Linked DNA regions of Drosophila melanogaster. The protein of the gene in region 1 interacts with the protein of each later gene in a pairwise test. Each region holds a gene or a part of one and is shown on either strand. Other genes may lie near its edges.

Region 1 (5,137 bases):
CCGTATCCAAATCGTTGTAAGCCCTTTGTTCAAAAGACGGAAACACCAGATCCCATATTCAATCGAAGGCCGAAAAACGATTTTGAGTTTACCACAGGACTGGATTTTAAGTTTCTTGATGATCACATGCACAATCTTTCCGAATCACGCAAGAAAGTCAACTTCTTCCGGCAACTGAGGTAAGAAAAATAATCTTAATTTTAATTTATAATATTAAAAATTTCTCGTGATACACAGGAATCAATCATTTCTTCTGTATTGACATGGTTAACAATTTTTCGAGCTAAAATTACAAAACAAAAACTATTAATTTGTAACAATTTGACTCCATCATCGGCAAAGTTACGCAACGTGGCTCCTATTTTAAGAGCTTTCAGTTGTGCCATGATTATAAATTACCCCTCATTATGTTCCGGGAAAAATGTGTCAATTGCATTTTCCATTACCCCTTCGTTTTCGATAGAAATCAATTAATTTTGCATAAATAAACTCGATTGGCAGCGTGGTCAGGGGAGAGCCATGTGCTTGACTATTATTAGGTTATAGCCGGTACACTTTTCTTGGAAAAATAGCAAGCAAATTGCAATTAATAATGCAAAAGGCAGCAAGCCAAGTCCGATACTCGGCCATTGCTGCGATATTCGCCGCGGGCACTGGCATTGCTGCCAATTTGCATAAATGCTAGAAGAGCTCTCCCGTTGGCCAGTGGGACGTCGGGCAGGAGGGTGGTGTCAAACTAATGGCAGTCTATGACAGGGATCTGATTTATTATGCACGGTAATTAGTTTGGCCTCCTTAGTGTCCGAATGGAAGCCAATAAACCAGGCTGACATGCCGCTGCATTGATTTTGCCCCGAGGAAAGCGCGCATAAGCGATGGATTTCCTTCTACCGTCCAGCACCGCAAGCATCGCCCCAATGGAGTGGCCAAAACATAACAATCTCCGGCAGACAGGAGTATGAAAGTCGGTATGAATGTTCCGAGGTGTCAGCCTGCGGGGAAAGGAGCTGAGCGGACTGTTGCCTGGGCATTGTGACTCCACAAGGCATGCAGAGGACACGTTGTCCTTGCGCTGAAGCTGTTCATCAGAATCCTTGTAGTGAACTTTTGTGTTTTTTTTTTGTGATTTGGAAAATAAAACAGAGGGCATGCAATTTTTTATGTTTCCCGAAAACTAAATCTTATAGTGAAATCATTTTTAAATCATTTAAGAATAATATAAGAATGCATGTTGTACCTATTAAATTTAAATTCTCAATTCATTCTTAAATAGCTTGAACCATTTCAAGCAATAGAGGATATATGGTAAATCAAACTACGATAATATTCCCATGAAAGAAGGTCCATCTATGCTTAGCTCAATAATCTGAAAATCTGCAGGTAACTGGTTTGACAGTAGAGTGACTGGGTTGAGTGAAAATCAACCCGTGTTCTTATAAAAATCAGTTTTCTACGACAGTAAGTGAATTGGTCTTATCATCGGTTTTGGCGCAAACAAAAACCAGCTTGCTTGCTTGACATTTTGGCACATTCCTGCCAGACGCCTGCCCACATTCGTCAGCCCGAAGGACAAGTCAGCTGGCAAGGATATATGGAGCGGGGCAGCAGTCTGGAGGCCGATAAAACCTGTCCCCCACCGAACACCACTGATAAGAGCCAACATTCACCATAGCACATGGGTCCTTTCACCAACGAGTAATGCAGAAAGCCACCACACTCCAATCACCAACAAAAGCCGGCTCTCTCATGTGCGACTGCGTTGCTCTCTCTCGGGTTATCCTTCGGCTCTGATAAGACCCTGCTTCGGGCGATGGCCGAGGCCCAGTTCGGGTCACCTGCTGGCGTAGCTCGTTGCCCAAAGTCAGTTTACTCGGGAGCGCGGCGGAGTTCGTTTAGCAGCGGGCCAACGGTGCGGATACTTGACTTGGGCCAGAGCTGCCAACTGAATGTGTGAGGTGCCAGTGACCACGAGGACGAGTGCTAATCTCGACAATCGGGCTGTGTTATTTAGCAGGCAAGCGGCTGTTCTACCGCAGATCAAAAGTTTCAAAACACCCAAATGTGTCAAGCAAAGACGGCTCAAACAGAAATAAAAAAAAAATAAATAAATAAATAAAAATACATATATGAAACCCAGTCAGAGCAGAGCTGATGTGTGCGAGTGCATGTGTAATTAATTTTTGGCATTTAAATTGGCCGACACCGGGGCTTTAAATCAATTTGACAAATTTGCATTTTTCTGGGCGCAAAAAAGGGAAGCCCGAGCAAGGGCAATTTCATTTACAAATTACAAATTGATGTGGCGCCCGTGGAAGGGCCCGAAAAACAGCAGCAATCAAGGGTCGTCAAAGGGGGATTGAGGATGAAGGACAACGAGGGAGGCCTGCCAAATGTCCTTACGGCGTTTCCTTGATTCCGTTTTCGAAATCGTTTGTCTGATAGGCAGCAACGTGTTTGGCTCGGAGGATTAAGTGGATTACGGGGGTCGTCTTAAGGATTAGTTCTTGGAAATGTTCGGGCTATCAATCGACGGGTATCCTTGTGGAGTCAACTTTTAAACCAGCACCAAGCCCCGACTTTTAATACTAAATAAGTGGATCCAATAAGACGTCGATATATTTGTTTTCCTCATATCGTATAGCAATACAAGAAGAGACAATTATGTTTAAATGGGTTTGAATAAGTTTTTAAATGTGTATAATTATGTTTTTATTAATATGTCATTTCATTTGTTTATTTTTTTTTTTTTGTTTTCACGACACCTTCTTAATGGCCTTATTATAAAGACTGAAATCATTATTTCCCTTTTCATTCTTTAAATATCTTAAAATTCATGTAACCTCTGTAACTTCTTCATTGCCTTGGAGGAATTAATGTTATACGACAACTTGCCGACATTAAAAATTTCATAACTGATTAAAATACTTTAACTTTCATATTCAAACCCATTTCTTTTTTTACTTGCTTTATGTGGTGCGAAGAAATCTCGCATTTACACTACAACGAAGAAAGCTGAGAAGAGGAAAATGGAAAATCGGGGAAAGCTGAGTGGCAGCAAGGAGTAATAATAATAATAGGAACAAAATAAAAGGAATGAGCCAAAGAAAAATGTCTGAAACGTGCCTCGTATGCAAATATTTGCAAAACGCAGACTAATAAGTGGAAGAAAAGACAGGCGACAAAAGCGGCCGGGGACAATGGGCCATGCCAGGAATGAGACTCTCGACGAATGTCTAGGTGTCAATGTGCCGGGGGCAAGTTTTGTACCCCCCTTCTTAAAAAAAAAAATCCCCCAGGTTGTTTGGTGCATATGAAAAATACGCCACTTTTTTCATAAATTAAAGAATCATTTCTCCCCCATTTATAACAATAACAGAAGTCTGTCGACAACCTCGACACTCCTAAAAAATTCTCATGTGCTCTCGCCCTCAAATGGGAAAAATGAAATAAATTTCATTGCATAATTCATGGGGCATCGGGGAGCAGGGGCAAGACAGCCGCTTGCCATTTTGTATGGTCATAAATCTTTTGGCATATGGGCTGCCATTTCGCATCATCATCAGCAGCGAGAAAGAAATGTGAAATCCGTAAAAAGCACACATGGAAAATATTTAAAAAATTAAATTTTTATTGTTCTTCCTCATCGTTAGCCAAATACCCATAAACAATTCATCAAAAAGGGAGCAAGCAAACGAAAATAAACAACAGATATTGTTTACAATTGCCTAAAATGGCAAGAGACAACCAAATAAAATAGTTTGCAAATTCATTCCATGACAAGTGTCTAAAACAATAAGCACAAAACGTTTTATAACTCCCTCTCTCTCTATCTCAAAATACAAACAATGAACGGCAACGGCACCAACACCAAGTGCAGCAGCAGCAGCAACAACACGGCGGCAACATCAACATCGTCAGCAGCAGCAGGTTCAGTCAGTCGGTCATCAACGAAAACAACAATGCTGGCTACAACTATGTTCTATGGCTAATACAAAAGCTACAAACAACAAATCGCCAACAACAACTAAGCCAAAAGTTCGCCAAAGCATTTGATGCTAAAAAAACAACAAGAAAACCTACACAAACAGCAGCGCAGCAGCCACATCAACATTGGCAACACTTTTACGAGTTGCAAACTACCTTGTACAACGAATTTTTATTATTGCACAAGGTAAGCCCTGGCCTTTTGCTACATTTTATTTAGAGTTCACTGTAGGGGGCGGCAAATTGATGTCCTTGGTCACCTTTTGCTGGCAAATCGAGCAGCAAAATTTAATAGTAGATGCTCCATTTTTCAGGGGTTGACAGAACCTGACCTATCGCAATTTCAGATGAGTTGACCGTGCACAGAACTTTGTTCTTTTCTGCAAACAGTTTGTCAGGAGGAGAGGGGCGGAATACCTACAACCAAAATTACAATAAAGTAAAATGAATCATTTAAAAAAATAGATTTTTATTTGCGAGAGCAGTTTTTGGGTGAGAAATATATAAAATTATTCAAATATTAGGGATAGTTTTCTTATTGGTTGCTTTCAAGACCTGAATAAATAATGCCCACAATTAACTATGACATATGGTCTTCGTTTGCTAAGCTGTGGGAAAAAGTTCCTTACTGTCTACCATTTCCAAGAGAAAACTGATAGTTAATAATTAAAGTATGTGCCCTCAAAAACCATAATCCAAAGGCCAACCCTGACTTGCCAACCTCCTTATAATGTGACCCAAAACTTGTGGCCAAGGAAAGTGCTTTCACCGCACTTTATATATTGGCCGAGGCAATTCACTCGCTCGCAGCTCAATTAGCCCCCTTATCAGGCAGTCTGTAGTTGGGATCCGGGCAAATCCCCGTAATTAAATGCAAGCCACATGCTTGGCTGACTAACCCACATCCTGCAGCAGCAGCCACCACCGCCAACACATTCCACATTCCCCTCGAACCGAAGCACTTGTCCGACATACATCATCTCGCAGGCGGCGGAAAATCGAAAGAAAAACGCTGACAGGCGAGCGAGTGGAAAAAGTTGTTCAAGCTACCAGAGAAAATGCCGTTCAGCTGCCGCATGGCAATCCCCGTTTAATTTTTCATGGCTGCCTCGCTCAAAGTCAAAGCAAACACGAGACCGAACTAAAAGTCGGA
Region 2 (5,189 bases), on another chromosome or scaffold:
TACTCAACGACATAGCCGTTTTGCGCAACGAGGCCAGCGGGCTAAGGCGGCTGCTTCACAAAGCGGTGGACATTGGCGAGCGGCCGGACGATGTGCCGATGGAGATCTGGTACATTAAGCTGGAGAAATACATCGAACAACTGCGCAAAGAGCTGGTCAGCCGACGGGCAGAGATCAGGGAGCTACTCCATCAACAGCAGCAGCTCTGCGATGAGCTGGGCGAACAGCCGCTTTCACTTCTAGCTGATCCCCTGCCGCTGCCCGAGGAGATGGACCCCTTTCGGGAGCACCTAGCCCAGCTGCGCGATCAGCGAGTGCAGCGCCTCAGGGATATGGACGAGCTGCGCCAGAACATCAAACGAAACATAAAACTACTCGAACTTCAATTGCGAACGGACTCGGAAAAGCGGTTACTCAATGCGGATAACCATAAGCTTACTCCCTACGCCTACGTGCGCCTGCAAGAAATGGACAAAGAGTTCGCCGACCAGGTGCAGGATCTAATCGACCGCATCGACGAGATGCGCGGCAAGATTGAATGCCTCTGGCAGCGGCTCAGGATGACCGACGAATACGCCATGCGTCGTGTGCGCGAAGCCACGTCCTATAACCAGTGCACCTACGACATATTGCGCGAGGAGCTGGAGCGCTGCCAGGCGATGCGGCAGCAGAATCTGATTGCCTTCATCGAGCAGCTGCGCATTGAGATCAACGAGTGGTGGGATCTTTCACTGAAAAGCACCGAGGAGCGCAGGCGCTTCACCACCTACTACTGTGATACGCAGACCGAAGATGTTCTCGAGCAGTTCGAGAAGGAGCTGGACAACCTTAAGGAGTTCTACAACAGCAACAGGAAGATATTTGAGCTATACGCGAATCGAGGCGAGCTATGGACGCGCATGGAGGCCCTGGAGGCCAAGGCCAACGATCCAAATCGGTTCAACAATCGCGGTGGACAGCTGCTCAAGGAGGAGAAGGAGCGCAAGACTATCATGTCCCGTCTGCCCAAGATCGATCAACAAATCACCGAACTGGTGCAGGTCTACATGAGTGAAACGCACACGCCGTTCCTGGTGCACGGCGTGGATATACTGGAGCGCATGTCGGCGGACTGGGAGCGGCATCGACAGTCCAAAAAGCAGCCCTCCGCCCAGAAGAAGGATGGCAGCAATACGAGCGGCCAAATGAAGCCGCCAATGGTGCCTCTTACGCCCAATACGCAGAAGAGCAACCGGGGCATCCATGGATCCACATCCTCGTTGAAGAAGACGCCGACCAAGGCAAATGCCAGCACCACGGCAATGAGCACAGGGAATCTGCACAAGAGACGGCATCCACAGCATCACAACACCAATAGTCCACAGCCGGCAGCAGCGGCCAAGCGAAATCTAATCGCATCGCTGGAGTGCAACAATGCAAGTCGCAAGGTCTGTGTGAATGGGCAGAAGCTGCTCAAGTCGCCGCAGAGGAAGGTGCGCGTGCTGGAATACTCGGTGCGTCGGGGCAAGGGATCCGGCAGGCCGAGCACAGGGAGCAGGAATCCCCAGAAAATTCGTCCCATACCAAAAATCCATGTGCGTCCGCCGTCCGGCGAGGAGAACGAGAGTCCCGACGAGGAGGCGGTCGTGGCCATATAATGGAGCTAGACTCTAATCACATCCAATGGCAATCATTTCGGCAACTGATCTGTGTTCTATATCTATTACCTGTACTGAAGTATTTGGCTCGCAATTGCAGACTCATCGTATTTATATGTATACACATATGTATAGTGTTAGGGCTTTTCCTAGCGCAAAGACTATCTAAATTTACAACTTTAAAATTCTTTTAACTATTTTGCACTACCTGTGACGGCAAGAAGTAAATGAACAATTGTCCACATTTTAAATTTTTAGTCAGATAAAAACGCTTGTTTACATTATAAATTACTTGATTTCAATTTTACCAAAATATACATGTGTGGGAAGGGTTTTCTAAAGTCTGTGGGATGTTTACTAAGCGCATATAAGAGAATATAATACGTTTTTAAGGAGCAAAATAATTAAAATAGATATTTTAATTTGCTAATAAACCAAATAACGAATTTTAAATATTCAAAAAAGTGGCGTATGCTCCAGCCCTGGTTTTACCAGAAGTTACCGCCGCGTGGCAATGCTGTCCCACAACGCGGTGGCAACACTCTTGGCCGCCATTTCAATTTGAATTTACCGAAATTTCTGTCTAGCGTCATCGATTCATTCAGTTCGAAATTTCGTGCAGTGATGCACTCTAAATAAACCACTAAATAAATCCGCACATTCCCGAGCAATCCTGCCCAGCGTTGTGGGTCTGCGACACAACTGTCAAGTTAACTCAGATATGCTGGTTAAATAGTCCCCAAGTGAACACAACGAAAAAACAAAGCCAGTGAGCATTTACGCAAGAAAAGAAATTTTGAACAAAAAAAAAAAAACACAAATTTCACAACGAAAACGGAGAAAATGAACTCGCCGAGCGCCATTGCGGTGAAGGCCCAGATCCTGGAGATGACGGGCGAGCACGTGGATCAGTTGCACGCGATGTGGTCGCAGTTGTTCGAGGTCAAGACCTGCGGTGAGTTCCTCCTCCGGTTGAAGGACCATGCGAACAGCTTCTTCACGGATTTGCTCAATGAGTCGCGCGAAAAGCAGCAGGCGATCCTCAACGATATAGCCGCCTTGCGGGCAGAGGCCACCGACTTGACGCGCCTACTCCACGAGCCGCTGGACATTGGCGAGCGGCCGGAGTCCATGCCGCTGGTCGTCTGGGAGCTGAAGCTGGACAAAAGCATCGAGCACTTACGCGATCAGCTGGCCAGGCGGCGAGCGGAGATCTGTGAGCTTCTGCTGCAGCAGGAGCAGCTGTGCGAGGAACTGGGAGAGCTGCCTCTGCCACTGTTGGCGGATCCACTGCCGCTGCCCGAGGAGATGGACGCCTTTCGGAATCGCCTGGGCCAGCTACGCGATCAGCGAGTGCTGCGCCTCAAAGAGATGGACCAGCTGCGCCAGGCCATTAAGCACGACATGAAGCTGCTTGAGTGCCTGCCCCAGACGGACACCGAGGAGCGTCTGCTCAACCAGGTGGATCACTGCCTAACGCCGGAGACCTTCGAGCTCCTGCGCAACATGCAAAAGAACTTCGCCGACCAGGTGAAGGAGCTGAGGGAGCGCATCGACGATATGCGCGAAAAGATCCATGTGCTGTGGGACAGACTCCAGGAGACAGACGAGTATGCCATGCGTCGCGTGCGCGAGGCTACGACCTACACTCAACGCACCTACGATGTCCTGCGGGAGGAACTGCAGCGCTGCCAGGCCCTGCGACGCCAGAATCTGAAAACCTTCATCGAGCAGCTACGCATCGAGATCAAGGAGATGTGGGATCTCACACTTAAGAGCCAGCAGGAGCGCAAGCGCTTCTCGAACTACTACAACGACTGGTACAACGAAGATCTGCTGGAGCTCCACGAACTTGAGCTGGACGACCTCAAGACCTTCTACAACAAGAACAAGGAGATCTTCGATCTGTACGAAAGCCGTGCCGAACTCTGGTCGCGCATGGAGGCGCTGGAGGCCAAGGCGAGCGAGCCGAATCGCTTCAACAATCGTGGCGGCCAGTTGCTCAAGGAGGAGAAGGAGCGCAAGGCCATCACCTCCAAGCTGCCCAAGATTGAGCAGCAGATCACGGAACTGGTGCAGGCATACGAGGCGCAGGAGAACACACCCTTTCTGGTGCACGGCGAGAACATCCTGGAGCGGATGGCCGCCGATTGGGAGCGTCATCGCCAGGCCAAACAGCAGAGCTCGGCGCGCAAGAAGGCACCGCCATCGGCCAGCAAGATAATGCCACCGCCGGCAACGGGCTCGACAGCTCCACGCACGCCGCGCACGCTGCGCAACATGTCGACCCTTTCCAGCTCCACCATGTCGCTGCGCAAGACGCCGTCGCAGCAGCACCTCCGTCCACTAAACATCACCAAGAGTACGGGCAATCTGCACAAGCGCCTGAATCCGTCCGGCCTGCAGACGGGCCCCAAAACGCCCAACGCCAAGCGCAGCCTTATGAACACACTCAACTCGATGAAGGCGTCGCCAGCCAAGCACCTGCTCGCGCCCAGCCAGCAGCATAACCAGCTGAAGAGCACCAAGTCGCCGCTGAAACGTGTTCGCGTACTGGACAACACACTGCGACGCAGCGGCGGTATGGGCAGGCGCAGCATTGGAACGCGTTCCAGCAAGAAGGCGCGCACCAAGTCCAACGATCAGAACGCCCCACCCGACAGCAGTGACTACACAACGGACGAGAATCCCGAGCAGGGTGTCAGCTATGACGAATTTCAGCCGACCAGTCGCTCCTCGATGCTGCCGCGCCAGCGTCATCAATTGGCCGTGCCGCGAACTCGTCGTGCGGAAATGAATGCCAATCTGCCGGTGCCGCGGGAAAGCCTGATGATCGTGCAGCCGCGCAGACAGTTCTAGTTCCACTGGAGATTGACTAGCTTAACGCGTACCTACTACACTATTTCATAACAGTTGGAGTTTCTTGATGTATTTTAATTTTTTATTTTCTGTTTTACGTTTTCAGAATAAAATTTATGTGAGTTTTTTCGCTTGACCACAAGACTCGAGTGTATTTCACATTTCTTTCAGCATAATTCGTGTGTAAATTTCAGGAATTGGTTGTACATTTGTTAATAATTTTTTGCTAGTTTTCCACCAAAAAGAAATAGCTGTACATTTCGATGTTTTACTATGCTTTCACGATTTATTTGATCATCAACTAAATTTGTTAATTGTTAGAGGGATGGGGAGCTATTTGCACTTTAATTTTAATATACTAATATACAACTAAATTTGTCAATTGTTAGAGGGAGGGGGTGCTATTTGGACTTCAATTTTAATATACTAATATACAATTCAATTTGTCAATTGTTTGAGGGAGGGGGAGCTATGTGCAATTTAATTTTAATATACTAATATACAATCGCACTGATGCAAGCTTTATAAAAAGATTCCAACCGCCTACACTGTAGTAGAGCAGTTCTTATTTGACTATTAAATACATATTAACACATTAAAATGGGCGGCACGTGTGGTGCCTGCGCCAGTGATGAACCCTTCAATTGGCCAGAGCCCGGTGCGGTGCAACAGCTCCTCCCAATTCGGATACCG

The links.
Region 2: the proteins of kek3 (region 1) and feo interact in a two-hybrid assay, tested with the Drosophila melanogaster proteins (one large-scale study listed by BioGRID).

The regions. Positions count from the first base shown.
Region 1 is NT_033779.5:15,550,860-15,555,996, forward strand, and holds the start of kek3 (kekkon 3), read left to right. Parts: upstream 1-1,863; 5' UTR 1,864-1,950; exon of another isoform or gene 1,951-2,014; intron 2,015-3,650; 5' UTR 3,651-4,171; intron 4,172-5,137. Other genes in the region: CG15256 (uncharacterized protein), read left to right, coding at 1-179, 238-262.
Region 2 is NC_004354.4:10,851,896-10,857,084, reverse strand, and holds feo (fascetto), read left to right. Parts: upstream 1-2,215; 5' UTR 2,216-2,480; coding exon 2,481-4,496; 3' UTR 4,497-4,639; downstream 4,640-5,189. Other genes in the region: sofe (sister of feo), read left to right, coding at 1-1,637.